Linked DNA regions of Rhinolophus ferrumequinum. The protein of the gene in region 3 interacts with the protein of the main gene of each other region in a pairwise test. Links are inferred from orthologs where the notes say so. Each region holds a gene or a part of one and is shown on either strand. Other genes may lie near its edges. The genes, in order: PNMA2, MID2, ENKD1 and PDLIM7.

The links.
Region 1: the proteins of ENKD1 (region 3) and PNMA2 interact in binary tests that used the Homo sapiens proteins (3 or more experiments, as listed by UniProt). The two-hybrid records come from large-scale screens. The link is inferred for Rhinolophus ferrumequinum from reciprocal best matches to the Homo sapiens genes ENKD1 and PNMA2.
Region 2: the proteins of ENKD1 (region 3) and MID2 interact in binary tests that used the Homo sapiens proteins (3 or more experiments, as listed by UniProt). The link is inferred for Rhinolophus ferrumequinum from reciprocal best matches to the Homo sapiens genes ENKD1 and MID2.
Region 4: the proteins of ENKD1 (region 3) and PDLIM7 interact in binary tests that used the Homo sapiens proteins (3 or more experiments, as listed by UniProt). The two-hybrid records come from large-scale screens. The link is inferred for Rhinolophus ferrumequinum from reciprocal best matches to the Homo sapiens genes ENKD1 and PDLIM7.

What each region holds. Positions count from the first base shown.
Region 1 is NC_046301.1:40,887,572-40,895,741, reverse strand, and holds the start of PNMA2 (paraneoplastic antigen Ma2), read right to left. Parts: upstream 3,131-8,170; 5' UTR 2,995-3,130; intron 2,979-2,994; exon of another isoform or gene 2,883-2,978; intron 278-2,882; 5' UTR 1-277. Other genes in the region: DPYSL2 (dihydropyrimidinase-related protein 2), read left to right, coding at 3,492-3,845.
Region 2 is NC_046284.1:46,733,733-46,741,908, forward strand, and holds the start of MID2 (probable E3 ubiquitin-protein ligase MID2), read right to left. Parts: upstream 3,196-8,176; 5' UTR 3,088-3,195; intron 3,023-3,087; exon of another isoform or gene 2,406-3,022; intron 1,887-2,405; exon of another isoform or gene 1,868-1,886; intron 1-1,867. UniProt on the Homo sapiens protein: E3 ubiquitin ligase that plays a role in microtubule stabilization. Mediates the 'Lys-48'-linked polyubiquitination of LRRK2 to drive its localization to microtubules and its proteasomal degradation in neurons.
Region 3 is NC_046298.1:17,287,510-17,295,317, forward strand, and holds the start of ENKD1 (enkurin domain-containing protein 1), read right to left. Parts: upstream 3,176-7,808; 5' UTR 2,992-3,175; coding exon 2,856-2,991; intron 2,761-2,855; coding exon 2,566-2,760; intron 1,980-2,565; coding exon 1,807-1,979; intron 853-1,806; coding exon 727-852; intron 638-726; coding exon 474-637; intron 374-473; coding exon 237-373; intron 158-236; coding exon 1-157. Other genes in the region: C15H16orf86 (uncharacterized protein C16orf86 homolog), read left to right, coding at 3,435-3,539, 3,763-3,992, 4,342-4,574, 4,678-5,087. UniProt on the Homo sapiens protein: Microtubule-binding protein which regulates microtubule organization and stability. Promotes the stability of astral microtubules and facilitates the proper orientation of the mitotic spindle.
Region 4 is NC_046307.1:5,128,464-5,135,681, reverse strand, and holds the start of PDLIM7 (PDZ and LIM domain protein 7), read right to left. Parts: upstream 3,005-7,218; 5' UTR 2,885-3,004; intron 1,925-2,884; 5' UTR 1,914-1,924; coding exon 1,818-1,913; intron 1-1,817. UniProt on the Homo sapiens protein: May function as a scaffold on which the coordinated assembly of proteins can occur. May play a role as an adapter that, via its PDZ domain, localizes LIM-binding proteins to actin filaments of both skeletal muscle and nonmuscle tissues.

The DNA.
Region 1 (8,170 bases), on a different chromosome or scaffold from region 3:
TTTTCCCCTCTTGGGGACCCTCCTGCCATCTGGCTTCCCCACAATATACTCATCAGACACACCAATTAATGTCTGAGCCCACTTATGGCCAGGATTCAAGATCTTTCCCACGGGAAGAATGATATGAGGAGATGTGGCTGGATACCTGTTTATGTGTTCCAATGTTCCATGAGAGTCGATGATCTGATTTATTCAGCTTCTACTATATGAAGATGTCACCCAACTCCATACAATGGCGTGTCTGCATCCTTCTTAGCTCTGGCCAAGTCAAGCTGCCCTGTTGCACATAAATAATAATGGTGTATTTTTATAGTTTGATAATATCCAATGATGAAGACTGTCAGCGAGTTTATTAAAAAATATGACTATCCTTCACAATTCAATCTACTAAACAATATAGTTGCTTCAGTTCTTTGATGAAAAAAGTCCAATTAGAAATCACTCGAATACTTAAAACCAATTAATGTCAGTATAACAATACAACTTATATAATATACTTTAATATAATATAATAATATAGGTATAAGAATTTAATATACATTTAATAATTTTTGAAAATCTCAGGGCCAAATAAGTTAAACTTGGATTATGAATCATGCTCTTTTGTTATGTCTGGTCAGGCTAGGCAAATGCACAAATAGGTGTTTCTTTTGCTATGAATGTTAAGTTACTAATAAGACAGTATTGTTGTAGCATTTGAACTTGAATGGATCATTTGAGGAAAAAAGGAAAAGAGAGAGCATATCTACAGAGAGCCAGTGGAGAGTGGGTAATGTAATGTAAAAAGGGAAGCGTTCCTAAAGTCTCCCAGTTCTGTTGTACCGCGTGTGTTAAGCGGCCATGATCATTCTTCCTTAGGCCTGAAACTCTCCATCAAGCCGAGTGAGGTCCATATGCCACAGATGCCAACCTGTAGCCATCGTGGCAGCTATTCCTGCTACAGGCACATTTCCTCAGTCCTTCTGGAAGGTGCTGGCGGCATGGAGTGTGCCCGAGGTCCAGAAGGGCAAAATGATGGATAATGCCCTGGCCCAGCAGCCTCATGGATCTGAGCCCAGTGACTTCTCCATGCCTCCCTTTCCCTTTCAATGTGGGGGTGACCTTCCTCTCACGTTGTAGTTTTAGAGGAAACATGAGATGTAAAAAGGCATCAAATGTGCAGGAAGAAACATTTCCAAGGTCTATGGAACAACTACCATGGCTTCTTCCTCCAAATGCAGTCCCTACCTGCAAGGTAACTGTCAAATAAAAAGATGGCAATTGAACCACCAATTTTGATACACAGTAAGTCCACGGAAGGAAATATTTGGATATGGAAAAAATGTAAAAAATTTTGTATTTTCTAACATAAGGATAATTTGGAAAAGGGACCATACTTTCAGGTGGAAGACCCCCACTGGGATTGTTGGATCATTTAATTAGTAACCTTAGGCAAGGCGTCTGAATCTCTCTAAATCTGTTTCCTACCCTGGAAAGTAGTGATGGAAAAGCACTCCTCTCACAGGCTGCCGTAAGTAGGAAATGATGTAATTCGTATGGAAGCACTTTATTCAAATTAGAAGCACATCTGGTGCTGAGTCTGAATGTCCACCTGTGGGTCTCTCAGCTCCCTACACGTGTATCGTTCTCCTTCCTCCTTCTCCCCTTCTCATCAGGAGACTCCTTCCCACCTATCATGGTGGGCTCTTCCTCAAACTGTGACTGGTGGTCCTCCAAATTTAACTCCATTCACCAAACTATCCCTCACATTTGGGTTGAGGGAGAGTATCCACATCGAATCCTAATAAGGGCAAGAGCTGACAATGGGACAGAATCCTTGGTCACACTTTCCGGGGCGGCAAACAGCCTCTTTTAGCCCAAACCCACCCTCGTTACTGAGCATGCCCAGACTTCCCTCTAGAACCACCAAAGGATGGGCATCGTCTTTGCAGGATATTGCCACCGTAGTAAAAGGGGCGGGGCTGTAATCGACCAGGGGCAAAGACTGATACAAGGAAAGTACGTGGGGATGGGAGTGAGCAATGAAGCGCGCTCAGTGACGGTGTTGTTGGCACATATCAAAACGCTCTCTGGATATCCACCAACCAGGTAGCTGCGCCTGGTCTACCCGCACATACACAACCACGTCTCCGCACACCGTTACCCTGCTTGGCCTCATACAATTCAAAGCATTCAGTCACAGCCCCATCTCTTACCTCACACTGGACTTGCGCGGGCACATATGCCCCCACCCCACCGCCCCCGCACGCGGCTCTGGCGCAGTGCGCAACAGGGGCGGGGGTACAGGGGAGGCAGACAAGTAAGGGCTGGAGATTTGGGGAGTGGATTGTAATCTGTGCCTTTCCCTCCCTTTGGAGGGTGGGGGCATAAGATACCAAATCAGAACATTCTCCTGGGCCCTTCGTGGCGCAGTGGCGCAATTACGGTACGTGGCGCCCTCAGGCACCCTCTCTATGTATTAGTTGTGCTGGGCCGGAATTTGCACTGTATTCTTGGCTACACTCGCCAGCACGCAGACCTATGTCTCTTTATACCCCACATCCACCACCATTTGCTCCGCCTCTGCATTTCTCCCTGCCGTGCTGTGCGCCCTCCACAACTGTGGATGCACTGAGCGAGAACCTTCTCGTTTCACTCTCTGCCCCCAACAGCCCTCCAAAGCCCGTAGGTAGACTGAAGCTTTGGTGTCCCGCGCATCGGGACATGGCCCCCACCTCTCCGCACGGCCTGCGCCATTCCCTCCCCATCCTCACTGCGGCCTCTTCCCTTCTCCCCCGGTGTCTTGTCGCCAGCCAGTTTGTTTCCCTTTCCTCATCCATCAGCTCATGCCCGAGGTAAGAGGAGGGAGCCCTCCCCATAAAGGGCCCTAGCCCCCGGTTTACCTCCGCAATGCGGTGGGGGAGAGGCGCCTGGGTCGCGTAGGTAGAAGGGCGCGAGGGCCAGGGGCTGGCTGCGCCCTCGGGTCTTCGCCCAGCGTGCCTATCCCATACTCACCCTGGAGCCGAGAGCTGTTAGCGGGCCCTCCGCTCCCCATCCATTAGCCGGTGGTCTGGCAGCTTCACTTCCGGAGCGCGGGGCTCTGGGCGGTGCAACCCTCCCCCCCTCCCTTGCGCTCAGCTCGGGCCGGAGCTCCCAGCGCCTCGCCCCGCCCCCGCCGCGCCCCGCCTGCACCTCCCTCCGCCTGCAGCTGCCGGGAACCCGCAGGCAGCCTGTCACTCCCGCTGCCGCAGCGGCCGCCCTCCCAGACCCAACTTTGCAGCTCGCCGGAGCTCGCGTGGCGGCGGGGGGCGTGGGCAGGGAGGGGAAAAAGAGGGGTCAGGGGGAGGGACCGGGAGGGAGGGTCGCCCGCTCACCAGCCCTCCTTCCTTTCTGTGCACCTTGCGGTAGGCAGAGAGCGGCAGCCGCTGCAGAGGGTTGTGCACAGAGAGGCAGACTTAGGGATCGTAGACGGACGGGCGGACGCAGAGGACCCTCCCCGAGCCCCCCGCGCCATGGCCGAGAGGAAGCAATCCGGGAAGGCGGCAGAGGACGAAGAGGTCCCTGCCTTTTTTAAAAACCTGGGTTCAGGCAGCCCCAAGCCCCGGCAGAAATTCTGTGGCATGTTTTGCCCGGTAGAAGGGTCCTCGGAGAACAAGACCATCGACTTCGACTCACTGTCGGTGGGCCGGGGCTCGGGGCAGGTGGTGGCTCAGCAACGGGACGTCGCCCACTTGGGTCCCGACCCGCAGCCACCGTACTCCCGGCAGGGCCGGCGCGCGGGTGGGGAGCCATCTGTTGAATCCGGCCGGAAGGTGGAGATCCGGCGGGCCTCGGGCAAGGAAGCCCTGCAGAACATCTACGACCAGGTTGGTATTGGGTGGTGGGGGTGTTTGAGAAGGAGGACCCGGCGCAGAGATCGCCCCTCCGTCGCCCCCCTCACAGCTCGGTGGAGAACCGAGCATCCCAGCGTGCCCACCGTCCTGCCCCTCCCCGCATATGTACACGCACCCCACCCAACCCGCCCCTTCTCCGCGAAAGGTATGGAGAGGCGCGGGCTTGACTGTGGCAGCCGTGCGCCCACAAAGGCTGCCCGCGCTTTCCTGGGCCTGATGGGTGGTGATGGTAAAGGTTCGGCCGATCCTCTGCTTGGGGGTCGCAAGGTGGGGGATGGGGATGGGCCGCGGTTCCATTCTTCTTAAATCCTCCCGGGCGCCTTCCGATGGCAACTGTGTCTGGGTGCCCCACCCTTTTTTGGATGCAGCTCTGGGCATGCAGTGGAGGGTTGCATGAAGGCCGGCGGGCTCCCTGGGGGTCAGGAGGGGCGGGGGCTTCGACGGCTGCTCCCCGCCGCGCCCTGCGCGCGCTCTCCTACAGCATCTCCTTCCTTGCCTTCCGCGCTCGCGTCCTGAGCTGGAGGCCAGGACCATGGTCAGCGCCTCCCGGACCGCCCTGGAGAATCTCATCACCCTGACTCCAGTGTGCTGCGTGAGAAGAACCAGGCAGGCGGTGGAGTCCCCCGAAGAAACCCAGACGCTCCTAAATAGCCCATGTGGAGAACAAAGTTCCGCTAAGTATTAAAGCAAGGGCTTCCCAGCGTGCTCCCCCCAACCCGCCCTATGTGGGAGGCGCTTTGGGGATAGGGACCAAGTGGATTATGTTCAAAGAGTGAAAAGAAAAGGGGAAAAAAACCTTCACATTTTGGATCCAGTGTCAAAGATGGATTGGCACCCTCCATACAGTGTTAATGGGGAAACAAAGAGGACCAATTTGGTAAACCTTGATTTTAGAAAATGTTCGTCATCTCTGGCGAATAAGAACAGCGTGCATTTTAAGAGCAGTCGTCTTCTCACACCACAGTTGTTTTTTTTTTTTTTCTTTATCAGGGTGACCTTCATACTTGTGCATTCCCTCTAGCCCCCCCAGAGCCTTAATTCCTCAACTGATAAATTACAGTGTGAACTGTTTCAACATTTGTTTGCTGTTTCTTTCCCAGGCCCATTGGTGAAAATGAGAAATCAGTCAATGATTGATTATTTATTGAATACTTATTGTGTGCCTTGCCTTGTGGGGCAGGGGGAAGTTAGCTATATAGAAAAAGTTCAAGGTGATTTCTTCTTACGGGGCTTTCAGAGTAGTTGGGAGTGGCCTATACATAGTCACTGAGTGATTCCACAAGCATTTATTTGCCGGGGCTTCAGACAATGTGCTTTTAATGAACACATCAGAGAACAACGAAGAGTTGGTGCTCATGGCACAAACATGTTGCTCTTTCCTGATGTGGCATAGAATTTTGCAGCTTTTCACTTTTGTTGGACCAATTCTAGGAAAGGTAAACCATCTGCTGTCATTTTCAAAAGGGGGCAACTAATTACTTAATTCCTTCTCTCCCAGCCCTGTGCTCTGATTTATTCATATGGGGGAGGGGTCACCGGATATCCGCGTTTCACTATCAGTCAACCAGAAGAACTTAATCCAGAAAACTTACTTTGTACCAAGTGATCAGACAGCTGAAGTAAAAGCTTCTAGTAATGTAACTTAAAACGAAAGCTGGGTGAGTGTGAAATGCTTTCCTACGTGAATACACTAGGTGAGGGCCAAACCATGATCATTATAGCAGGAACAGCAGAACCTCTAGTGCCACTCACACGTTTGTGTGAGTGTCCTCCTCTTAAACAAGTTGTGCTGGTAATTCTAATGTCCTAAAGGGCGCAGAGAAATGCCTCACGATAAGGAAGAGATCATTTTTAAAAATGGCCGCTCAAGGGGTGCTGGTTGACAGTGGTCTTCTTGATAATGATGGCAGTGAATTAAAACTCAGATTTGAAAGGCAAAGTTTCACTGGGTTGAATAACACGTCTCTTTTTCTATGCATTTAGAAGTTCCAATATTTGATCATCAGAGTTACTTGTTTGAACACTTTCTAAATTTAATAGGAACGATAAACCTAGAGCACATGGAGAGGGAGATTTGAAGAGGAAACCAAACCCTAGGCAGTTTTAGCCTCTGGAAACCCAAAGTTGCTTCAGTTGCCTGGTTATTAGTTGCAGAGGGTGATTCTGGCTTGGTCTTTCTGCTGCCTTCCCTGAATTTTCATTTTCAATCTTGCCTTATCATGTAAGGGCTGTTCCTTTGGGATTTGTTTCATTCATGACTAAGAGTATTTACCAGGATCAGTACTTAACAGTGTTTGAATATTTCATGACTATTCAAGACACAAAAGCCATTTGTGTGTGTGTGTGTGTGTGTGTGTGTGTGTGTGTAACAATGGTGATTTCCAAAAGTACAGTTGGGCCCACCATTTTGACTGAATCAGGTAGCCATTACTTACCGTGTTTCCCCGAAAATAAGACCTAGCTGGGCAATCAGCTCTAATGCTTCCTTTGGAGCAAAAATCAATATAAGACCCGGTCTTATATTATATTATGTTAGATTAGACCTAGTCTTATAGTAAAATATTATATAATAATATATACAATATTATATAGTAAAATATATTACGGAAAAATAAGACTGGGTCCTATATTAATTTTTGCTTCAAAAGATGGATTAGAGTTTATGATCCAGCTAGGTCTTATTTTCGGGGAAACACGGTAGTTTTCAGCTAATGAGTAGGGTGACAGCCAATATCTTAGTATGTTTTTATCTGAAGCCCTGGCACATAGAGAGGTGGGGGGATACACTAGAGTGAGTGGATCTCACATCTTTCCTCCTTCCCTAAATCTGTGTTTATAGGTGTTATTAATGCATGCAGAGGGGCTTTGCCCACCTGCCACCCTAGGAGTTCTGCTGTTCCTCTAGTAAGGTGGTGGGAAGGGAGGGAACACGCCTCCAGAGCCTGGATGCCACATGGCTTATGGGCGACTAGGGGATGTTGAGTTGCATGTATCCCAGCATGCAAATGTCAACAAGTCAGCACCAGAAAGCACTCGGTGTGGCTTGGGCTGGGATGTTAGGTTTTGGTGAAAGGAAGAGCCAGTGTCATGAGTGCAAATGAGGAAAGTTTCTATCACATTACTCTCTTTTCCCTTTGTCTCCTTGGGGGAAGTCCATCTTGGGCTGCAGTGCAGTTAAATTGGTGACCACCTGTTAGGGACTCTGAGCCTCTTGCAATAGAGAGCAGAAGGACACTACTGTTGGCTGTATTCTTTCCTGCTAGTGCCCAGGGGTCCCTCAGCCTCCTCCCTTCCACCTAAGAATTCCCTCCATTCTACCTCAGACACATGTTAGCCAGAACCAGCTGTCCCACCAGGGAAACTGGATCATGAGCATCCCTTCCAATGGGGCTCCCAGGCCCTTTTCCCTGCAGCAAACAGCCTACATAGAGTAGGGTAGTAGGGGACTGATTGTCCATTTCTCTGGGGGCAGGTGCCAGTCAGGGAACTACATGAGAGTGCTGCTGAACTTGACAAAACCACCAAGTCTGTAAAACACTTTCTGATATGCCTTTCCATTCTATGTCTCCATTCTTTCTCCCCATGTTGATGAGCTCTCAGCCCTGGGTGCCCAGGGACTCTGCTGCCCTCTTAATGTTTAATGCTACCCTTGCCCCTTTGTGATGGCGATGCCCCTTCTAGAGCTTTCTTCCTCCAAAAGCAACGAGTTCTGAAATCACTCTCTTCCCTTTTGCCCTCCCTTCTCTCATTCAAAATCCCTTCCTTGTGTTAATCTTAGCTAGAGAGAAATCCCAATGATTCAAGGCATCCATCGCTTCCGTGAATGACTGATACACAAGTTGTCCCCAGAGATATGTGTTTGATAATAGATTAGCCTGTTCAACAAAATGAATGCCTAGTTAGCAGGATGTGTGGTAGAGATTTGGCTGGGAGCCTAGAACAAGGGCATTAATTTGATACTTTAGAGGCCACATTGTTTCGAAAGAGGAGACACAAATATGAACATTTATGGTTCAGGATTCCAATATACCTAAGACCCATCTGGGTTCAAAAGGAGAGAGGGGCTTGGGTAGGAGAAGGAAATGGTAATAATCCATAATTGTTGGTTGTTCTTGATTTCCTAGATGATTTTTTAACTAATCATATAATTAGTTAAATTAAAAAAAAAAACCCCATCTAATTGTGGTAAAATACACATAACATAAAATTTAACATTTTAACTATTTTAAAGTGTACAGTTCAGTGTGTGAAATATACTCAGATTGTTTTGCAACCCATCTCCAGAGCTTTTCTGTTTT
Region 2 (8,176 bases), on a different chromosome or scaffold from region 3:
GGATGAGGGAATGGACAGGCTCAGTACCCAAAGCAATTTTTGGATGCAATTATGAGACTCCACTGGCACTGCTTTAGGATCTGCAAGTTGGAGCAAGTTGCCCTGCACTTAAAGAGGAGGGATTAACTAAACCAACTTCATCTAAATCAATTTGCACTGTTCAGATGATACATTCATGAAGCAACCAAGTCATTCTGATTTGTGGCAGGAGTTCTGGGGGTGGCCATGCAAGGTACAACATGCTAGATGAGAAGTCTAGTAGTCATGAAAATCAGTAAGAGAAACAATCGCCCCTTCATATGCCTCGCCTCTACCCCTGCTCCACACAGCCCCTCCCTGTCCTAATCCTGGAACTGCAAGTAAGGAGGTAGGCCTCAAACAAGCAGGGTGCCAACTGCTAGGCCAGGGCTGGGGCCTCAGCCCAGTCAGCAGAGGCCTCTGAACATTATAGGTGCTTAATAAATATTGTTGACTCACCGCTGCTAGATACTAATCATGCTTATAGAGCCATGCCTAAAATTATTTATGCCACTTTTCAGTAGAAATTAGCTAACTGCCCCCCATAAAGGCTAAAAATGGGTGAGATTACCTTTTCAAATGCATCTGACTCAGATTGTTAGGTTGGAGTACACTAGGTATGATTTAAGCCTCGACTTAAAATAATCACCATTAGTCTGTATGCTTAGTTTTACGTATGTTTCATTCAGTTGTATGTGCATTAGATAAAATAAAAAGGCTAAGGACCTAAGTACAGTGATAGATTTGGCTACAGGGGGGCTAATAATGGCAAGTTAAGATTTCCAGTAAACTAGGGTTCCTACTTATACCTAGTCAATCTATTGTCCCAATAAAAAGGTAAATGAAGCACTTTCTTTGAAATGTGTAGTGCTGAGGGTTTACAGAACCCTATTATCTTCAAAGGACCAAGTCACGACTCACAAAACCCCAGTACACTATATTATGCCTTTTACACAAATGCATCAACTATGAAAGAAAGGTCATAGGAATGTCCTCAGGCCAATGTAACATCAGATTTGGGACAACTCTCTGATCTTCTTAGCTCCTAGACCTCTATTTCAACCACATAAATCAAGTTGTGAGGAACAATCAGGAAAAATCTAATTCACATTATATATCTGCATTAAGTTAATTGATTGGACAGGAATATATAAAACAGCAAAGACTGTTTCCCCCTCAGGCAGTCATGAGTGGAGAGGGGTGAAAGGGGGGATGTAATGGTTCGGGGTAGAGCAAGGAGTAGGGGAGGAACTCTCCTCTCTTCACCCTTTCCCTTCTATTGGAACATGGCCAGAGAACTGATACTGAGAAGGAACAGAGTGGGGTTAAAGGTAGCCCTCATGGCCCAACCTGAGAATCGGAGGAATCAACCCACACACAGTACTTGTCTATTTACATAGTCTCCAATATATTCTTTTATAAGGGCTCCTCCTCGGAGACACACAACCATCACTACCCACCGACCCCACACTCAGAAATCCTGAAATAGGGAAACTGGTTGAGAAGCAAGAAGCTGCATTGCTGGGCGGCTGGGAGTACACAGGTTGATGGGGGAAAGGGCCTGTGGGATGGCGGGGTGGGGGGGGGAGATTTGGGTGGGCAGGTAGGTGTATGATGTTGTAGGAAGGTGCGTGAGTGTGAAGGCTGTAGGAGAGTGTAGAAGAGAGAAAGTGAAGAACCACCGACCCCAGGATCCCAATTTCCTGCTCTGAGAAATGTCTCCCAGAAATAATGTGCTGCGCATGAAGTGCTAAGTAACCTAAACCTTATCATCACCAAAAGTGTTTCTGAAAATCTACTCCACCGTTATTTACTTAATTCTGACAAGCCAGGAATGGAAAAAACCCACCTCTCCGTGATTCAGTCGCAGTCTATCCAATGGACCTATGTAAGTTTCCCCTCTCCCTCCTGAGCTGCTTTCAGAGCTAGGCCAGAAATAAGGAACCACCCAGACGGAGACTCAAGGGTCGCTCCCCTGGCAGAAAGGGGATTAAGTTTCGCCGGGCCTCCCCGCCGGCAGGGTGTCCGCAGCATATCGGGCTGCGACACCAGCTACCGCCGGGCAGACGGCCGGCCAAGGGGCGCCAACAGGGCCGAGGAGGCTGCCGGCCGCGGGAGCGTGGGAAGGCGCTCGTGGGAAGGAGCCGCTCCACTGGCCGCGCTGGGCCCGGCCCGGCTGTGAGAGAGGCCTCGGGCCGCCCCCGCCCGCAACCCGGAGTGAAAACTCCGTCCCAGGAGGGCAGCAGCGACGGGAACCCGGGGCTCCACGGCGCAACGTGGAGTCAGGGCCAGGACGGGGCCCCCGCCGCCGCCTCGAGCCTCTCGGGGCCCGTCACCCTGCCCCGCAGAGCCCCGGAGTCCTCGGCCCGCGCTGGTCCCAGCCGCACCTGAGAGGCGGCTGGAGCCGGGGCCGAGCCCTGCGCCGGCGGGGTGCTCGGCCCCCGGGGGCCGCGGCGAGGGGGCGCGTTTTACCCAGAGCGTTCCCGGGCGCCGGCCATCTCCTCAGCGCGCCCCAGGGCGCAGGGCGCTCGCCTCCCTCCGCCGCGAGCTGGCTCCGGCTCCGACGCTGGCGCGAGCTCCCCGAGCTGCCGCTGCCGCCGCTCTAGGCCGCCGCCCGCCTTCGCCTTCGCTGCTGCCGCCGCGCAGCAGCCGGGATCCGCCCGCCCGCGCGCCCCGCAAGGGACAGCACGGCGGTCGCGACGCTCCAAACTTAAGAGTTTTAGATTCGCCCCCTCAGTCCAGGGGCAGCACCATGACACCACGGCAGCTCCACACTGTCATTTCCGCCGCCGCAGAGGGAAAAAAAAAGCAATCCCTTCGAAAAGGGGGTGGGGTGGGGGCCAACAGGGTTGGGGCTGACGCCCAGAGGGAGCACGGACAAGGGCCCGGCAGCGGGGGCTCTCGGCCACCTTCCCGGCCTCACCTTCAGCCTCCCCCGCCGCTCCCAGCTACCCCAGCCCCTCCTCTGGAGGCGCGTTTACATGTTTTCTCCCCAGGCAGGAGTGACGGGAGAAACCTGACCAAGCAAAGGCAGCGGGTGGGTGGGGTTCGGGTTACTACTGTACCTACCAGCTGATTCCAGCAGCCTTTTCTCCAGCGCCCTGTCATCTTGAAGGAAGACACACGGAGAGGTGCTGAGCGGTCGTGTGTGTGCGCGCGCGCGCGCGCGCGCGCGCGCGAGAGAGAGAGAGAGAGAGAGAGAGAGAGAGAGAGAGAGAGAGAGAGAGAAAGAGAGAGAGGGAGAGAGAGCGCAGAATGTGTGTGAAATACAGAAGGCAACTCTTCTGCCACCCGCCAAGCCCCTGGTCCCACAAACCCCCAGGTTGGAACACGGAAAAGACCCTTGCAACTGGCAATGAGAGAGTGCCCAGGCCCACCGCACAGGTCCCCGGATGAAGCTGCTCTATGCAAAGTTAACTACAGAGTAAAACAAAAATAGTGGAGGAGACAGAAAAAGGCAGACAATTGAAGGAAACCCAACCCCTCTTTCTTTTTACGAAAGGAGAATGGCTGTGTTTTATTGGCCTTGGGCAGAAGTTGTGGGGATGGAATAAAGCCACCAAAATTAAAAAAAAAAAAAAGGTTTCATTTGCACGCTCAAATCTTTGATGGACAAAACAAGAGGTTCCCTACTAAGAGAACAATGGGACAGATGCCAGCTATCCAGGTATTCAATGTCCCTAATAAGCTAATTGGTTCATCGGGAGCCCAGAAACTTCATTGGTCTGGAGTCAGCCTGGCAGCTGACCTGTCATTGGCTCAGAGACCACTGACCCACTCACAAGGACACCAGAGGGGAGAAGGAGGAGGCCCGGAGGAGATTCTGCTCCTAACATGGGGTAAAAAGGGAGATGAAGGGGAAAGAAGCTAGAAAATGGGAGGAAACAGCCCCGTCTCACAGAAGCCTCCAATTACTGTGCATGGGAATAAGTTCAGAAAAATTATGGTAGCTCTGGGTGTATCCCATCAGGGAACCAATAGTAATTAGGCATCACCCCATTCAACAATGTACTAGCGAGCACCGAGATGGAAATGAAGGCAAAAGTCACAACCAGACTATCCTGATGAAAGTCTGGCTCTAGGAGAAGTAAAAGTTAATGAGTTCAGTCATACCAAAAGAACAGGCAAGGTTAGCAAAAATAGACAGGTGGCAACTACATCAAACTTAAAATTTTCTGCACAGCAATAGAATCAACAGAACAAAAAGGCAAGAATGAAAATATTTGCAAACCATATATCTGATAAGAGGTTAATATCCAGAATATATCAATAACTCCTACAACCCAATAACAAAACAATAAATAGCCAGATTAAAACATGGGCAAAGGACTTGAATAGACATTTCTCCAAAGAAGACGTACAAATGGCCAACAAGCATATTAAAGGATGCTCAACATCACCAATCATCAGGGAAATGCAAATCAAAACCACAATGAGATATCACCTCACACCGGTCAGAATGGCCATTACAATAATAAGTGTTGGCAAGGATGTGGAAAAATTGGAACCCTTGTACACTGTTGGTGGGAACAGTGCAACCAATATGGAAAAAAACCTCAGGAGTACAGAGGTTCCTCAAAAAGTTAAAAACAGAACTACCATATGATTCAGCAATCTCAATTCTGGAAATATATTCAAAGAATTGAAAGTAGACTCTCAAAAAGATATTTGCACTCCCATGTTCATTGCAACATTTTTCACAATAGCCAAGAGGTGGAAGCAACCTAAATGTCCATTGGCAGATGAATGGATAAAGAAAATGTCATGTATGCATACAGTAGAATGTGGCATATACGTTCAGCCTTAAAAAAGGAGATCCTGCCATTATGCTATGACATGGATGACTCTTGAGGATAATATGCTAAATGAAATAAGCCAGTCACAGAAGGACAAACACTGCATGATCCCACTTACAGGAGGTATCTAAAGTAGTCAAACTCATAGAAACAGAAAGTAGAATGGTGGTTTCCAGGGGCTGGTGGGGAGGAGAGGTGGGAGTTGTGTTTCTGTGGGTGTAGAGTTTCAGTCATGCAGGATGGGGTGGCAGGGGTTTCTGGGCAATCTGTTGCACAACAATGTGCATGTGGTTGACAATATTGTACTGTACACTTTGAAATTGTTGGGAGGGTGAATTTTACATTATGTGGGTTTTTTTCTACGATAAAAAATTAATTAATTTTGAAAAAATTAATGGGTCAGAAGTAAACCGATCCTAGTATAACAGATGAGTGGATAAATAAGAATTATATATAGGCATTATATATATATATATATATATATATATATATATATATATATATATATATATATCAGATATTGTCAAATGAAAAAAGCAAGCTGTGTATGGTTTGCTACTACTTTGTAAAAAAATGGGGAGGGTATATGTCCACATATGCTTCTATATAGGTAGACTCTTCAGTAAAAATACCTAAAAAACTGATTACACTGTGGATCAAGCATAGGAAGGAAGAGTATTTAACATTGATATACCCTTTCCTATTGTTAGAATTTTTTATAATGTCTATGTATTACCTTTTCAAAAACAATTTTAAAAGAAGAAATAGCATAGAGACTGAAAGTAGAATAGAGGTTACCAGGGATTGAAGGAAGGGGAGAATAGGGAGTTATTGTTTCATGGGTACAGAGTTTCTATTTGGAATGATGAAAACGTTCTGGAATTAGAGGGTAGGGATGGCTACACAACGTTGTGAATGTGCTTAATGCTACTGAATTGCACACTCAAATATGGTTAAAACGGTAAACTTTATGTTATAGTACCCTCCCCCTTTGTCCAAAGTTTAGCTCTCCATGGTTTCAGCTACCCATGGTCAACTATGGTCTGGAATTATTAAACGGAAAATTCCACCTCACGTCATCTCAGCATGTAGGCGTTGTATCATCTCACATCATTACAAAAAGAAGGGTGAGTACCGTACAAGATATTTTGAGAGAGATAGACCACATTTATATAACTTTCATTACAGTATTATTATAATTATTCTATTTTATTAGTAATTTTTGTTGTTAAACTATTACTGGGCTTAATCTGTAAATTAAACTTTATCGTAGATATGTATGTATAGAAAAAAACAGTATATGTAGAGTTCAGTACAATCCATACCTTCAGGCACCCACTGGAGGTCTTGGAACATAATCCCCCGTGGATAAACGGGGACTACTGTATGTATATTTTTCCCACGATAAAGTAAATTTAAAAAAAAAATAAAAGAACGAGGAAGTGTACGAACAGATAGATACTATTGTATTTGTGTAAGACATTATATATATATATATATATATATATATATATATATATATATATCTCCATGAATGCATAGAAAAGAACTTGGGGCACACTGTAAATAGTGTGAGCCTGGAATTGTGGTGGGTGTTGAGGGAGATCTTTCAGGTTTGATTCTATATATTTTATAACTGAATATTCTACCATGAGAATTTCTTTTGTAGTTTAAAAAAGGTTAAAAAAAAAAACTAAGTTGAGTCAATCGATCCCTTAGAATTCTTTAACCTCACTTGATATGATCCCCACAGATAGCTGGAGAGTTTTCTAACATGTGAAGAAGTGACCACTTTCATCGCGGACACACCCAAGCCAAGCCAACCAGCTCTTGGCAGAACTAGCACTTAGGGGAGATTTGCTTTTAATGCCCTGTCTTGTCCTTTAGAAACCACCCTGCCCTTCACTTTTTAGCGGTGTCCCCTCCACCTGAGCTGCCAGTGCTTTCAAGCGAGTCCCTGGCTGACCGGAGCATTATACAGAGAGCCCGTGTGCCACCCCCTTCCCTCCCCAGGCAGCAGCCCATATTCTGGACCTTTCCTTTCCCGTCTCAAAACTTAATAGCTTCTGGGTCCCTTTTATAAAGGACCTTACTGATTAAGGATTAGTAATTTGAGCTTAATATGAATAGCTTCATTTGTCTCTCTATTAGTAGATAATGTTTTAATTTTAACAGAGATTTTCGATGTATTAACTGAAAGGAACGACTGACTAATAGTGTGTGGGTTGGGATGGGGGTTGGGGAGATTTTGATAATCACATCACATAAGCAGCTGCTTTGAAAATATCCCCACTTCCAGTGGTTTTATGCATTGTCGCTGTAATGTATGAAAATAAATGTTTTGTATCTGGCAGGCGATGCAAAATTGGCTGGGAGCATGTGATGAAATTATTTGTTTATAATTATTTAATGGTTACCTTTTTATATAACATGTGTTGATCCTATTAACAAAATAAATCAGTCCCGTGGGGGAAAAAAGACGTTTGACAGATTCAGCTTGAGGTGTTTAATTGAATTAATCTGAGGCAGATTTACCACACTACAGTCCTAGAGCATGAAAGGGACAGCTCATGGGCTCTTTTTTCCAGCTAAGAAGGCGGGGAGGGAGAGGGGGAATGGCTCCAGATACTTTCTACAGAGAGAAGCACAGAGCCCAGTCTGTTTCAGAAATAAAAAATCACAGAACGGAGATTTTGTTGCACAAGAGAATTGTTCCTTCTGCAGAAGGGAACCTTCATACTGTTCTCAAAAGAAGCAGCTAGTTGTGTGAAGTCCAGAAGTTGACCTGAAGGCTTTTCTAACCAGGGGGCTTAACAGGATGGTGAGAAGTACTTTTGGCATGGGCTTATCAATAGGACATTGTTCTAAAACTAGTTGTGAACAGGCCATGTCGGCTGCTTAAGAGACAGTGGTTCAAAATAAATGTACCCAGTATGGAGAAATGGCATATTCCGGGTATTTTTTATTCTTCTCTGATCCATATTTTGGTAATTTTAAATTAATTTTGTAATTTATCTGAATTGTTGTGTTTGTTACAATAAACACATACGTTTGGTATCTATATTACATTGGTAAATATTTTCCTGGAGTCTTAATTAGTCTTCAGATCCAAGCCTAAACCTACCTGCTGGCCATGCCTTCGTAACCAGCACCCCAAGTCACTTGGAGTCTGGCTTCTGTGATGCCACATCCTCCTGGTTTTTCTCCCATCTCACTTCCTGTTCCTCAGGCTCTGCTGTTTCCTCCTCCTGCTCTTCTGTCTCCCAAGGTTGGGGTGCCCCAGGCTCAGTCCTTGCTTCTCTTCTCCATCTATACCCACTCCCTAGGTGACCTCCTCCAGTCCCATGGTTTTAAGTACAATC
Region 3 (7,808 bases):
GCATCCATCTTCACGAAGACCTTGGGGCGGGAAAAGATCTTGATGGCCTCCTCCACCTGCACCAGCTTCCGGTCCAGCTCAGCACGGTGGCCCTGCGCCCTCAGTGAGTCTGCTCCAGCGGGCAGCAGTACCAGCTCACGCAGCAGCTGGCTCTGGCCTACAGTGGGCCCAGGTGGTTAGTGTTGGGCAGGGGTACCTGGTCCCCAGTGAGTTCCCCATCCAGCTCAAATACTCACTCTGCAGCAGATTGCTCAGTGTTTCCAGCCGCTGGTTCTCAGGCATGCGAGTGTGGCCAGGGGGCATGGTAGGGTCTGGCTGGCTATGTTTGCGGGCCTCAGCCTCCTGCCGCCACAGATCCCGGCGCTCCAACAAGCTGTGGATGCACAGGCTCAGGGTTGATGATTCCAGGGCAGATGTTGGCTCCCACCTGCCACAGGCACCCCTCACCCTGGGTGTTCGGCAGTGGGACCTACTAGTGGGGCACGTGGCCCTTCTGTGTGGCATTGTAGTGCTCCTGGGCTTGCTGTTGCTGCTCCAGCACCTGTGTCAGGACTTGCAGCGAGCGGGAATGCCGCCGGGGGGCCCTCTTGGCAGTGCGGGCATTGTGGCTAATGAAGTCCACACCCAGGCCTTGCCCCTGCAGGACATGGCAGCATGTGGACAGACAGCACTGTGTTGTGTCCCTGAACCCCCGCCCCACCTTCCAGCCCCCACACATTCTCTCACCTTGGCATTGGGACCTAGTGGGGTTAGCTGGGGACTGGGGACACGGGGTGGTGGGAGCCCAGGGCCGCAGCGGGAGTGCGCCCGCAGGAAGTGGGCAGGCTCTGTTCCAGAGGCAGGGCTGGGCTCCTGGAGGGCAGAGCATAGAAGAGGGATCAGTCAGGCTGCGGTCAAGGTCTCAAGACCGAGCCTCTATCCCTAGGGCTATGGCCTCCTCCTTTTTGAAGGAGCACTCATCATGATTATCATATAAACATGTGTACCTCTCACATCCTTAAGAAAACAACAAACCGTCCATCCTACCTTAATCCTGGCTCCAGCTACCATTCTCTTTTTCTCTCCTTCCTAGTCAAGCTTCTTGGCTCTGTCCCCAAGGTCATTAACAGCTGGCCTCCAAGCCCTCAAATCCGGGTCAGTTCCCTGGTCTCATCATCCTTAGTCTGATCCTCAATAACTCCTGATTCTCACTCCTGAGATCCAGACCTGACTCTCCATCTGGTTCTTGGACACACTCGCACCCCCTGGGAGTCCCACAAATGCTTCAGCTTCAACACATCCACATATGACCTTATTCTTTACTCTCAATCCTGTTCCTCCTTCTGAGACCTCTGTATGGAGAAATGGTGCCACTATCTACCCAAGACAGAATCTCACCACCATACCCCTGCCCCTGACCTTCGAAAAAAAAAGTTGAAAAGGGGGTTATGTGGCCCTTTATGACGTGGGTCCAGCTGACTTCTTAGCCTAACTCTGTGCTCTTCTCTCCTCACAGTAAACTGTACACAGCACCCCCACTGCCCACACTGCCTCTAGTCTTAGGACTTCTATCTGTGAGGTTTCATCTTTACGGAATGTTCTTTTCCATTCTCCCCTTGCCTAATTCCTACTTGCCCCTCAGGCTCACCCAGCCATCACCACTTCTGAGGATCCCCAGAGCCACCTTGCTGCAGAACCAGTTCTCTCTTAAGTCTCCTGTTACCTTAGTCCCCTGTGATTTTCCTCCCTCCCCATAACTCAGATCAGGGTATAACTGCCTCTTGGCCAACAAGATGGACAATACTTCTGGCTCCCTGAGGCAGGTACCTGCAGCTGGGCCTTGACCCGGGATTCCACTTTGTCATACTTGGGCGAGCGCCACAGAGCCTTCAGGGGCCTGGACTGGCCCTGTTCCCGGCTGCGCTCCTGCTCGCGGAAGCGCTTCTGGATTTCCTTGATACGTCTCAGATTCTCCTTCTCATGGTCTTTAGGTTCCTTCCCTGGGGAAAAGATGTTGCCAGACTCGCCCTGCATACAGCCCATGAAACCCAACTTATACAAGTTCACACACAGGCCCACACCTTGCCTCCTACAGAAAGATCTCCCTGACTTCTCCATCTAAGTTAGATCCTATACAGATACTCCATCTTACCACCTTGTTTCCTTCCTGACGTGGTAATTATCTTCTATCCTTGATTATTTTATACATTTTTATTGTGAGGTACACCATTAATCATCTTATATATAATCATCCCTTCACTTGTTCATTGTCTCCCACCTGGACTCCGTGATGGCCTGTGCTTGTCTTAAACCTTATTGTTTTCCTAGCACCTGTTGGGCCTGGCACAGAGCAAGCGCTCAACAAGTTTCACTGATGAATGAATTCATAAAGCTGATCTACGGTTTCCTGGGGACTACCTCATTCAGTCCTCTCCTGTAAGGAGGTAGTGCATTTTCCCCTCCCTTTATAGTTGGGGAAACACATTCAGAAAGGCAAAGCCTGAGCCGTGGTCAGGGCCGGAGGAGCAGCTTTTGATCTCTTTTTAACCTCGACTTGCCTTGCTGCCCCTTCTGCCCAGAACTTACTCTTGGGAGAGGCCTCTGGGCCTAGGGAGATACCCCCAAGTTGCAGCAGCATGGCCCCCACGCCGCGCCGACCACGCTCCAGAATCTCTACAGCTCCAGGACGGATGCGGGGGCCGCGGGGCGGGGTGACGTCCAGGTCCGCGTCCGAGGTCAGCAGGTCCAGCTTCGGCGTGTTTCCCTCAAGGCGCCCTTGGGCTGAGGGGCCGGACAAATCAGAGTGCCGCGTTCAGTGGTGGAGAGAGATCCGAGGTTCGCTCGGGCCTCGCTCAGCCGCGGCACCCTCTACTCACCCGAGGCCGGCCGTCGGTAGTAGTCAGGACAAAGCGTAGGGTCTGGGGGGATGGGCCCCGAGATGCGGGACAGGCCCTCGCACATGCCGCCGCCGTCGCCCTGCAATGTTGCACCGAGGCCTGCCGGGCTAAACATCTCGGGCCCCCGACCTCCTCTCTGGACCCGGACCTTGACCCCGGCGTTGCCTCCATTCCCGGTCCCCGGCCTGCAACTAGCCGCCTCCGCTCCTAGCCCACTTCCCTGCCCCGGTCGTGGCCCCTCCCTCTCAACACCCGGGCTGGGGGCTCACCAGAACAGCTTTAGACTGCCCGCAGCTGCCACCCGACGAGTTTGCTGTTGCCAGGCAACAATGGTTTCCGTCTGAGGTCAGGGGCTAATACCCCGACGCAAAGGTTCCTGGGGTTTGTAGTTCCAGCTGAGGGTAGGGGCTAGAGTAGTCTCCAGTCGCCCTTCCCACCCCGGCTCTCGCCTCCCGGTCGGTCTCCCGCGTCAGCGAAGGGTGAACCTGTCCGGCCCCTCGGGGCCCGTCCACCTCTTCCCATCAGCAGCCGTCGAGGATGCGCTGACTCTGCGCAGCTATGGCCTCGGCAGGGGCCGAGAGGCGCCCAGGGGCCCAAAAGGGGACGACTGAGGGGCCCGTACAGCTTGCGGAGGCGCCCGGTGGCGGTGCTCAGAGCTCTGAGGTGACCTACAGGTTGTCTAGCCTTCAAACTCTTGGTCGTGGCGCTCTAGGAGGCCAAACTCTGTGCGTCGACCCCCTAACGGCCAGGACAGGCTCCATAGGCGGGCAGGGCCATGGGCTGGTGCCCTTTATTCACGTTTGGTGTCTAATGTTGGGTGTTTAATGACTGATCCCTGTATCATTTGACTGGCCATGGTGACCAGTTACCTGTGTGTCACCTCTAGTGTCCAGTGATGGGAAACCAGTGCTTGGCGCCAGTCCATGAGGCCAGTGGGACCCTCGGTGAAGACAAATGTCCAACAGGACCAGTCTCAGAGCCAGAGCTCCAGGAGGAACCATTCAAGCTGGAGGAAGAGAGGCTCAAGCCAGAGGTGGAGGCACTAGAGGAGAGAAGCCCCAGGCCTACGGCCTCCATTGTGAGGTCCAGTCATGGTCTGAAGAGGAAGCCAGTCAAGTGAGGGGTCTTTCAGAGGGAAGAAGCTGCAGGGCTGAGGGGGGTTGGGAGGCTCACACCCCGGTAGGATTCCTAAATCCTGCAGTCCTGCAGTGTGTGCATCTTTATTCTCTGCCACCACCATCACTCCTCACTCCTTCTGTCCCTCAAGAGTCCTGGTGTAGGGAGCATTCAGAGTCTCAAGGCCTTGCAGGGTCTGAGCTCACATGAGCTCTCAGCTCTGGTCCAGGCTGGGGCCTCACTGACCAGGAAAGGAACACGAATCTGGGCCCAGGGTGTGGGGAGGCAGGGCTATTCCGCAGGCTCAGGACTCAGGAGCCAAGGCTGGAATGGAGGCGGCCTCCTCAAGCCTCCTGTCCCCCAGCCTCCCAGGGCCTAGCCACCAAGCCCATCCTAGGGCTGAAGCTGAGCTGCCACAGGGGCCGCCACAACAGAGGGAGGACCCGGAGGGTGGTCGGAGTGAGCCCTCACCGACTGCCAAACAGCACAAAAAAGCCAAGAAGCGCAAGAGTCCGGGGGCCCCAGTGCTCCCAGCTGTGGCCAGCATAGTATCTGCACCCTCAGAGACCTTGGGGCTAGAGCGTGAGTAGCAGTCCCTGGGCCTTCCTTTTTTCCCCTGCCTGCTGGACTCCTGACATGGCACAGCTTGGTACTCCAGCCCCCGTTCTGCCCTGGATCCTTGCAGGAAAGGTCCAGCGCCTACGGCCTCTGTACCAGTACATCAACTATTGCAATCCTGAGCTGAACCAGGCAGGGGAGGGGGACAGGGAGGCTGAAGCCGAGGTGGAACCTGAGTGGGAGCTGACCCTGGTCCCCGAGGAGGCAGGTGTGGAGCAACTGCCAGCCTTGCTGCCTGTGGCAGGTGAGCTTGGCTCAGGCCTCACTGTGCCCTGCCCCACTATGTCCGTGCCCCCTATCCATGCTATGGTTCCCCTGGGGGAGGAGGCTGGAGAGGAGCCTGGGGGTTTGCCCAGCTTGGGGGTTAGCAGCAGCCCCAAGGCTGAGGTGGATAAGTCAACTCAGGTGGACATCGACAAGATGCTAAGTGTCTGTGCAGCCCCACTTGTACCCCCACTTTCTCCTCAGTACAAATGACTGTCCTACCCCCTGGTGGCTCCCTTCCTCCCAAGCCTGAACCAGAGCAGCAGCCTATGGGCTCAAGCCCTCGGGAGGAGGGGGGAATATAGCCCCTGCCCCTACTTGGCACCTTGGACTTGCTGAAAATAAATGTTTTTCCTTTTCTCAGACTTTGACTCCCCAAATAAGGTGCCTGAAGAGGGAGAGGCTGGGAAGGAGGGTGGAGGATTCCCCAGTGCAGGGTTTGAAACTTGACGGGTCATTTGGATTGCCTAGGAACTCGACAAAAATGTAGATTCCTGGGTACTGCCTCAGACCTAACTGAATCAATCTGTGGGGGTAGGGACTTGTTCTGTGCATTTCAAGTCTCCGATGAACCTGAAGTTCGGACAGGATAATGGTGGGGATGGAGAGGGAGGTGATGAGGAACTTGGGGCAAAGAAAGGAAAGGAACTGGCAGGTCATGGGAAGCAGGTGCATGGCCTTGCTGTCTCCTGGGAAGGGGTCTGCATTCGGTCTGACCTTCAGGGCACCAACACTTGGGATTCTCCCCTCTGAGGTGGCAGAGTCCATTCGCCTGCCCAAGAGTGGAAGCTTTGGGATGCTTTCCACTTATTGTTAGATCACAGCTGGACCACACTTTGCCCCCAGAGTGGCCCCTGGTGCCTATTTCCTGGCAGGCAGAGAGTGGTGGTGGTGGTGAATGGTCTCCCTGGAGCCCTGAGGCCAAGCCACCAGATAACTGCTGCTTCTCATCCTCAGGGGTCTCTGGAAGAGGTGGCCAGTGCCGGCCATTTGGAAACCCTAATACCCTGCTGTCTCCTCGTCCTACTGCATGTCCCTCAGACACCTTAAAAACAGAATTTCAAATTAAACGAATAATTCCTCCTCCTCTCAACCTGCTTTTCCTCCTGTATCTCATCTGCGCAATCATTCAAGCCAAAATCCTGGTGTCACCCCAGACCCCATCCTGTTCTTTGCTTGTTGACTCCTACAAGCTAATCAATCATCAAGGCTGGTGAACCTACGACACACACATCCAAACCCCGGATGGTGTTGCTCCCCGTCTAGTACTCTCATCTAAGCCCAGCTGCTTGTAACTTTTCAGTGGTTTCCTATCATTCCCTGACCAGCCACACCTTTTCTTACCTTCAGTCTCTGCACATGGGGCTTCCCTGTCTAAAATGCCTTTATTCCCTCACCCCTCCACTTGGCTAGTGCACATGCACCCGTGAAGATTCAGGGCACCTTGCTTCCTGCGGAGCTGGGCAACTCCCAGTGTTGCCCTGCATTAAAGTAGCCACATACTACTGTCCTTGTGGGTCACAGCTGTCTTCAGGATGAGACTGAACTCCCCAAGGGCCCGTGTCATTGCATCACATCCACTAGCAGAGGACCCCCATAAAAAGCATAAAAAGATAAGGAGACCAGGTGGGGACCTGAGGAAGCTACAGAGGGATAGGTCAGGATCTGAAAAGCGGAGGCCATCCAACGTCCAGAGCCATGTGTGGGACCTGGAATAATGGCCTGGCAAGGTCATTGGAAGAGAGAAAACGGGCATCAGCACGGGATGCTCCCTCCTTTAGGGGTCGCTTGGATGCTCACCAGCCCCTTGGCAAGGCCACAGGGCAAGCTGTGCGTTCTGGACATATTTCTTCTTCCTGTTGACACTTTTCCCTGGTTAGTGATTTGACCACCCCAGGAAATACTGTCCACAGAGACCATGCAGACTGAATATTGTCCACAGGGATGAGCATGGATTCTCAGGGATTTTTCAGAGATAGAGGGTCCTTCAAGATTACTGAGCTTGACCTCCTCTTTTTATGGCTGAGGAAGCAAAGGCCTGGAGAGAAGTGGCCTTGTATGAGACCACACCCTGGGCGCCAGGGAGGCCCCGCCCCTTCCTGAGCCCTGCAGATCTGTGGATCTGGGGGCTCTGGTGAAGACCTGACCCAAAAAGGCTGAGCATCTGCTTTCTCTGTGTGGTCTCCAGGGCTAGAGGTGTGGACCAGGCCAGCACTGATAAGGAAGCTCTGTCCTTACCTTCCACAGGTGACAAAGGACACACTCAGTAACTATAGAAGAACGAGGCTACATTTCCCGACACAAAGGAACAAGTCACCACTACTGCTCCTAGACGCTCACTCTAAGGGAAAAATGCCGAAGCAGCATGGTGCAGAGACATGTGCCATGGAAGACCTGAGGAGCAAGACTGTGGAACCACAGGTGGCGGAGGTGACTTGTCACTATGTCTAGGGAAGCAGTGAAGAGGCAGGCCTCTAGCTGACTCCTGAAGGAGAGCTGGGTGGCCTTCCAGGCAGAGGATATGCCAGGCACGAAGCCTTGCTAGTGTGGAAGATGGCAGCTCCATGCAGGAGGGCCACTTAGCATGGCGGAAGCAGGCCACCAGGAGACCAGGTTGGGTGAATCTGGGAGTGATGAGGGAGGGGTGTAGGTAAGGAGGGCTCTTGGCCTGACATTTTGGAGATGTCGCTTGGGCAGCAGTGTGCAGGACAGTGTGAGAAAGGGAGAGACTGGGGACAGGGAGGTGAGGAGACTACTGCTATTGTCTGGATACGAGGTCTCGATTTGGAAAGGGGTTTCCAAAATAAGCAACAGGTATTTTGGAAGTTCTCTTCTGGTTGCCATACCACAGAGGAAAAGTTAACCACATTTTCTCTGGCTTGGAAAAACTTTACTTTGACCCAAGGAAGATCCTGAGATTTGGGAATCAGGTCC
Region 4 (7,218 bases), on a different chromosome or scaffold from region 3:
GAAAAGCAGGAGAACTAGGATAGTAGGAAGGGATGGTGACTGGAGAGAGAAGCAAGGAGGCCAGAGCGACCAAAGAGGGGGAAAAAGCCAGGGGGCTGGACACTGCATGAGGTGGGGGGTGAGTCAGCCTGAGGGCTCCACTGAGCAGCCCAACCCCCCAGTCCCAGACGTTACCTCATCTCCCAGGCCTGGGCCCACAGCCAGCCCTAGTCCCTCCCTCCATGCTGGGGTCAGGGGAGAGGGAGAGAACCGCCCCAGCTCATAAAAGACCACCCCACCCACCCACCCACTAGGGCCCAGGTCCAACTCCAGGGCTGGGCTCAGCTAGTGGTCCCACCCACATGCTAGGGCTGCTGACAAGGGAGCCAAGAGTGCCCCCAAAAGGCCACATCTGAAAGTACACCCCCCAGACCACTACATTGCCCATCCCGTCCAAAGAAGAAACTGAGGCTCAGATGCCAGCCAAGGCCTACAGCTCCCCAGCCACACTAGCCAGCAGTTTCCCAGGGAGGGGGATATAGGACAGGTTTCCAGGGCTGCAAGGCTTGAGGATTGTACAGGGGTGTGTGTATGTGTGTGTGTGTGTTAGGGGGACCACTGCCCTTAACTACCCTGCTGACCGGGCAGTTTCCAGGGGAACCCCTCGGAAAAGTCCCTGGGAAAAACGGTAACCAACTCCCTGCCCTGGCCACCAAGCCCAACTCCCACAGACCTACTCCACCTTGGGGCACCTCTAAGGCTGGGCAGTGCCTGGACAACCTTCTGGCCCCCTCTGGGCTGTGCTTGCCCTGGGCTTCCTGCCAACAGCTGCCTGCCCACCAGATGCCTGGGTGGGCCTCTCTGGACAGGCGGATGTGGGGGCAGGAAGTCCCCACCCCCTCCTAACCCCCAGACTAGTCAGACTCCAGCCCAAGGGCTGACCTCACTGTGCCTAGGTAGGCAGTTTGTTCTCTGTGCCTTACAACTGGAGCCATGGACTGGTAGTCACCAGCTGAGGCACCCACTGATGGGCTTCAGGGGTCCAGGCCTAGGCAAGCCTTTTTGGGCTCTGCAGACTATAGCCACCAGTTAGCCATCCCAGTGTGGGGCTGCATTCTTTGGCTTATAAGGCAATCCCCCTGCCACAGGGAGGAGCCAGCCCCCAGCTCCGCCCCCACCAGGGCAGGCTCTCAGGAGCTGGTCAGAGCCCTACACCTCATTCCACACCCACTAGGGGTCAAAGGTCACTGCATCCAGTAAGGGACCAGTGGGTGGGGATGGAGGTCCTCACATAGGCTGGAAGACCCACCCGGAGTCCTACCCACAAACTGCAGCTATCCTAGTACCTTAATGCCAATTCCTGCTTGACCATGGACTCAGAAAGAGCCCTTCCATCTCTCAGCCCTGAGTTCTCATGTGGAAAACCACGATAATAATGGCTATTTCCTGGGTGGCAAAGAGGTTGAAGTGAGATCCTGCAGTCAGAGTGCCCTGCCTGGAGCCTGGCTCCAAGTATTGCTCCCTCAAGCTGCTCAGACAGTTCCTAGAGACCTCAGGTTCCCCTCCTGCAGAAAGGGCACCCCTGGGGCCTCAGAGGTGGCCCCAGGAGCTTCCTGGAGTGGCATCAGATACAGTGCAGTGCTGGGGAAGTGTGGGGGCTCCTCTTCCAGTAACCCAGTTGGGAGTCTTCATGGCAGGTGCCCCCCACACCTCTGGACCCGGATACCTCCTGGCCTATTGGCCCTGGTTCACTCCTGCTCAGATCCCTCCCACACTCCCCATACACACTGGAGCACCCAAAGACTCCTGAGGGAGACCCTCCCCCAACCTAGGCTTACCCGGGAGATGGAGAGGGGCACATTGAAGTCCTTGCCTCCCTGAAGCCGAAAGCCCCAAGGTGCTGGCCCCTCGAGCACCACCTTGAAGGAATCCATGGTGCCTTCTCCTGAGAGGAGAGAAAGGTGAGTGGCTGGTATGGTGGGTACACAAGCACGTGCAGCTCCATACACCAGCCTTGGACTGATGCCAGGCAGGCAAGGGCAGATGCTGAGCACACCCAGGGCACAGGTAGTCAGGCTCCTCTCCTTGTCAGGTCTGGCTGGACTGTTGGCTGGCAGGTCTCACTTTGGAAAGACAGGAACAACCCCCCTCCTCCAGGGACTGTTGAGGGTGAGCAGAGCCCGCATCTAGCTTTTAGGTTCTTTTCATCCAGGAGTGGGCGGCAGAGCTAATGTGGCACGGCCTCCCCCCAAGCCAGCCTTGAGTTTCGTTCGGTGGGGTGAGTCAGGGGCCGGCGCTCCTCTCCCCCGCCCCCAGGTCCCAGCAGGCAGGCCGCGGCTGGAGCCTGCTCGGACTATATAAGGCGTGTAAGCTGACACTGTGCAGAGAGCCAGCCGAGGGAGCACCCGGGGGCTCGGGACTCCGGGGGGAGGGGGAGAAAGGGAGGGGGCTGGAGCGGGTCCTAGCCATTCCGGGACCAGTCGAGCCAGGGCGGGACCCCTGGGCGCTGGGGGTTGGGGGCGGGCAGGGGTGCGGCCCTTGCGGAAATCGGTGGGGGTTGGGACCCCAAAGCATGGCCAGGAAGGAGATTCATCCTGGGGCTCAGTGGAAGTGGTGCCTCCCACACAGGCCTGCTACATCCAGACGTGACTCAGTTTCCCCCTGGTTCCCCTGCCTGGGCCCCACAATATTGGACAAGTCCCGGGGGCAGGAAGCAGGGCAGGCGCCAATCGGCCCCGCCGCAGCCGGCTTCGCCGCAGGAAGGCGGAGGCGGAGGCGGGGTCGAAGGCAGGGGCCCGCGCCCGCGGGAGGAAGCTCAGTGCTGGCCACGACCCCTAAAGTCCTCTGTGCTCCCTAGCAGCCCCCTCCCTGGCCCAGCCCAAAACTCCCGCGCGGTCACCGGTACCTGCTCTGCCCCTCCGGGGCGCTGCTCGGCAGCGGGCTCAAAGGAACCGCGTTGGGACTGGCCGAGGTGTTCTGACCCCGCCCCCGCGTCCGCCGTCCGCTTTGAGACCGCGGAAGGGGGCGGTACCCGAGGCCACGCCCCATCGAAGTCACGCCCCCTACTGGCCTCTCCGGCGGTGGGAAGCTCCACCCAATCCTTCCGCCCCGCCCAATCACGAAGTCCCATCTCGCTTTGAGCTGGAAAACACAGCCCGCCAGGGTCCCCTCGCCGGAGCGGGGTCTGGGCGGGGTCTGGATGGAGTCTGGGCGGGGCCTGGATTGCGGTCTGGGCGGGGCCTGGGCTTCGCGACGCCGCTCGCTCAGCCCCTTGCGCCTCCTATTGGTCGACTGAAAAGAAAGCCGCCTTTGGAAACAGTCGTCTCTGAAACTTAATTTCCTCCTCGGAAAAATGGGACGATAATGCTCGTTTCACAGGGCCGCCGTGAAGACAAGCATTGTTTGGCGTAAGGCTCAGCCATCGGCGGCTGAGGGAATTGGTGGGGGGCACACATCGAGTTGGTGTCAGTTGAAGGGGGAACAGGGAAATTTGAAGCTATGTTTGCACAGCACTGAAAGCAGAAAGCAATGGTAGGAGTGGGTGGAAGTAAGAGGAGGGGCCCCTTGGCTGGGCCCTGAGCCTGCCCTGTGACCCTGCCCTCTGACCCTGGTCGGTTAGCACGGCTCAGGGTTGGCCCCACACTGTCGAGGTGGGATGTGTCCTGGTACTCCGTTCCAAAGCGGGCAGCGCCTCCAGTGGGGGTGTCAGAGTCCCCACTTTGCTCCTCCGTCCCTGCTCAACCTGGGCAGCAGCGTAGGCGGAGAGGAGGAAATTGAGCAGAGACCGGGAGTGTGCGGGTGAGTGAACTCAGCTCCTTCTAGGACATGGGCACTGCAGTTCGCCCCCTTCCGCCATCATCTCATTTCCCCCCTCTTGTACATCATTCCCCTCACTACACAAACTGCTGTACGAGTCTCGTGTTTAAAGAAATCCTCTCTTGACCGCACGTCCTTCTCCAGCTATGGCTCTTTTATTTTACTCCCCTTGAGAGTGAAATTCCTCGAAGGAATTCTGTCATGCTGTCTCGACTTGCTCTCCTCCTGTTCTCTCTTGAACCCACTCCAGTCGGGCTCTTGTCCTCCCCACTTCAATTCTCTGAACTAATTCCCTCTTCTCAAGGTCTCCAAAGACTTCTGAGTTATCAAATCAGTGGTGCTTCTTCAGCTTTCCTGTGACTCTACCTAGGAACAGCACTGGTCCAGGCGCACTCCAACTTTCCCCAGCCTCATCCCTCCTCCTCCATTGCTGCTGCTTCTCCACCTCCTTGGAAGGTCGTCATCTGTCCCCCAGCCTGGCCATCAGATCTTTCCGCTCTACACTTCCTCTCTGAGACCTCCTCCTGTCCTGTGGCTTTCAATACCACCCATATGCCAAGGACTACCAAGTTATGTGTGTAGCCCTGACCTCCCCGCAAGATCGCCAGGCTCTAATAGCCAACCACCTGTCCAACCTCTCTACTTGATGTCTACTAGATATCGCAAATCATTATGTCCCAATTTAAACTTGTGATTTTCCCACTTCCCTAGCTCCTTCCTCACTTCAGTAAATGGCACCACTGTTCATCCACCTGGTCCAGTAAAAACTATGAAGTTATCCTTCCTTCCTTTCTCTGTCATACTCCAAATTCTGCAAATTCCTCCTTCAGAATATGTTCCACATCTGGTCACTACTGCCACCATCGGTGCTGCCACCCATCTCGTGCCTAGACCCCTTAACAGTCTTCTAACACATCTCCTTGCTTCTATCCTGACCCACTCCAGAATCTTCTCCTTGCAGCAGCCAAAATGATATTTTTAAAGCAAAAATTGTAGCACATCACCTTTGGCTTTTAGCATTCTGGTGGGCTCATGTTGCACATAAAATTAAAGTCCTTAAGATGTACATGGCACTAATAAACTGGTTCCACCTCCCACCTGTCTCCTCCTCAGTCACTCTACTCCAGTCCCTCTGGCCTCCTCACTGCTCCTCCAACACGTCAAGCATATTCCTGCCTCAGGGCCTTTGCACTTGCGGCTCCTTCTGCCTGAGACATTTTCCCCCAGTTATCTAAACAACAGGTTCGCTCACTTTGTTCAGGTGTCTGCTGAGATGTTGCCTCTGAGGAGCCTTCCCTGATTCATATTATCTAAAACAGCAGCCCCCTGACACCTCACCTACATCATGCACTAGTCCCTATCCTGCTTTATTTTTCCCCAGGGCACTTACTACCATCTGACATTATATTAAGTGTTTGTTTCTTCATTGCCCTTTGTCCCCATTAGAATGTCAGTCCCATGAGATCAGGGGCTGTCTGTTTTGTCCATATTTTCCCCAGTGCCTGCACACAGTGTCCCTGCTGTGAAGGAAAAAAATGAGAGGGTGAAACAGAAATTGAGCGAAGGAAGAAGGGTCAGCCGGGGGGTCCTGGCAGTCCTCCAGCAGAGAGGACCCCAGGATCTGGTTCCTTGGGACTGTGCAAGACTCAGACCTGGAAGGCCACCAGATCTCCCTGCATAGGCAGCCCCTGGGTAGGGAAAGGCACTGGGCTAGGACACACTGCCCCCTCGTGGCCAGGACACTTGCAGCGGCAGGGCAACGACCCTAAAATCCCAGAAATCTGTTTCCAAAGACTTTTGCTTCCAGTGTGGTGGGAAGCTCACAGCCACTGCCATGAAACAAAGAGGCTTCGATTTGTAATAAAGGGAAGCACACCAGATTGGGTACTCAGAGTCCTGGGTCCTTTCTGGCTATGTCCCTGACACTCTCGGTAACCTACAGTGTGAACTGGGATTTGCTGAGCTGGCAAGGGCTGGATTGCCACCATGGGGTGGAGGGGTCCCTGCAGCAGACACTTGACTGGAGCCTCCTTGTCTCAGCTTGCTCTACGGCAGGCAGCCAGATGGCTCATGAGAAGACGTTACCATCACAAGGAAGGTCCATAAGTGGAGCCAAAATCTGCCTCCCCGTGGCTGAAACATCCTTTCAGGCTTTGCCATCTGTGGCCACACTGCACGCAGCCCCTTTCCCCCAGCCTCCCTTCACATGACATTTGGAGATGAATCTTAGACACCCAGAATCTTGAACAGCTGCACACTTAAATCCAGAGCTCATTGGAGAGGTTTGCACTGAAGGTACGCCACGTCTGGGAGACATGGAGACAGGATTGGCTCACTTAGGGCTGTTGTTCTGAAGCCTGGCTGCACTCTGCAATCACCTGGGGAATTGAAGAAATGGCTGGACTGAAGCCCTAGCCCCTGGGTGTGGGCCCAGGCGTGGGCATCTTTTAAAGGCTCCCAGGTGATTCCGTGCAGCCAGGGCTGAGTCACACTGTGTCGGAGGCCAGAGCCCTAGGCAGAGCTGGAGCAGGGGAGGAGGGAAACGAGTGAAGGAGGAGTGTCAAGTGCTGCTGAGACGTGGGGCGAGTCCTGGTCCCAAAGGGAGTCCAGCGGCTTTTGTTTTGGGGAACAAGGAGGTTGGTGACCCTGATAAGAGCAATGTAATGGTGTAGTGGGCACCACGGGGAGACGAGTCGGAAGGAAGAATGGAGGAAAGTGGAAATGAGAGTAATCAACAACTCTTTTGAGGACTTTCTCTGTGAAGAGGAACAGAGAAGTGGGGAGGTGCTGAAGGAGAATTTGAGGTCAAGGGAAGGTTTCTTTTAAAGATGTGAAATTATAGAGCATGTTGGTGAGGCTGGAAATGAGGAGGATGGAATTAACGGGTCGAGGAGAGAGGAGACAAGTCAGTTTGCCGAGCTGTGAGGAGGGGAGAAGAGCTGGGGTCAGAGCACGGACGTCTTGGGAACAGACACTTCTTCCAACATAGGTCGGGAAGACAGTGCAGGTGCACTTGTAGGTGGGAGGAGGTGGAGGCGCTTCACTTCTGTGGGCCACTCTTTGTTTGGATATCTGCAAGGTGGGAATGGGCAGGGGTGGAGAGAAGGTGAAGGTCTTGGGGAGGGAAAAAGCAGCTACTCTGGTTTTCCCAGGTACTCTGGTTTTCTCCATGCTTCACAGGATCTCTGGGCAGCATGGAGAGCCTGTCTCCGTGAGGTTTGAGATCACGCTGGTGAAGAGAGTGCAGTCAGCCTGGTTACATGAATTTCTCTAATGTCTCTGGCCATGGGCAACTGCCAGGCACTGTTGGAGGCTGGGGCTTTGCTGGACAAATAAGAGCAGGGCGTGCAGGGCGTGGCTCCATTAGGGGACTGCAGAATCTAAGTAGGACAAGGATGGAATTGTGGAAAGCAGTCGTGCAGA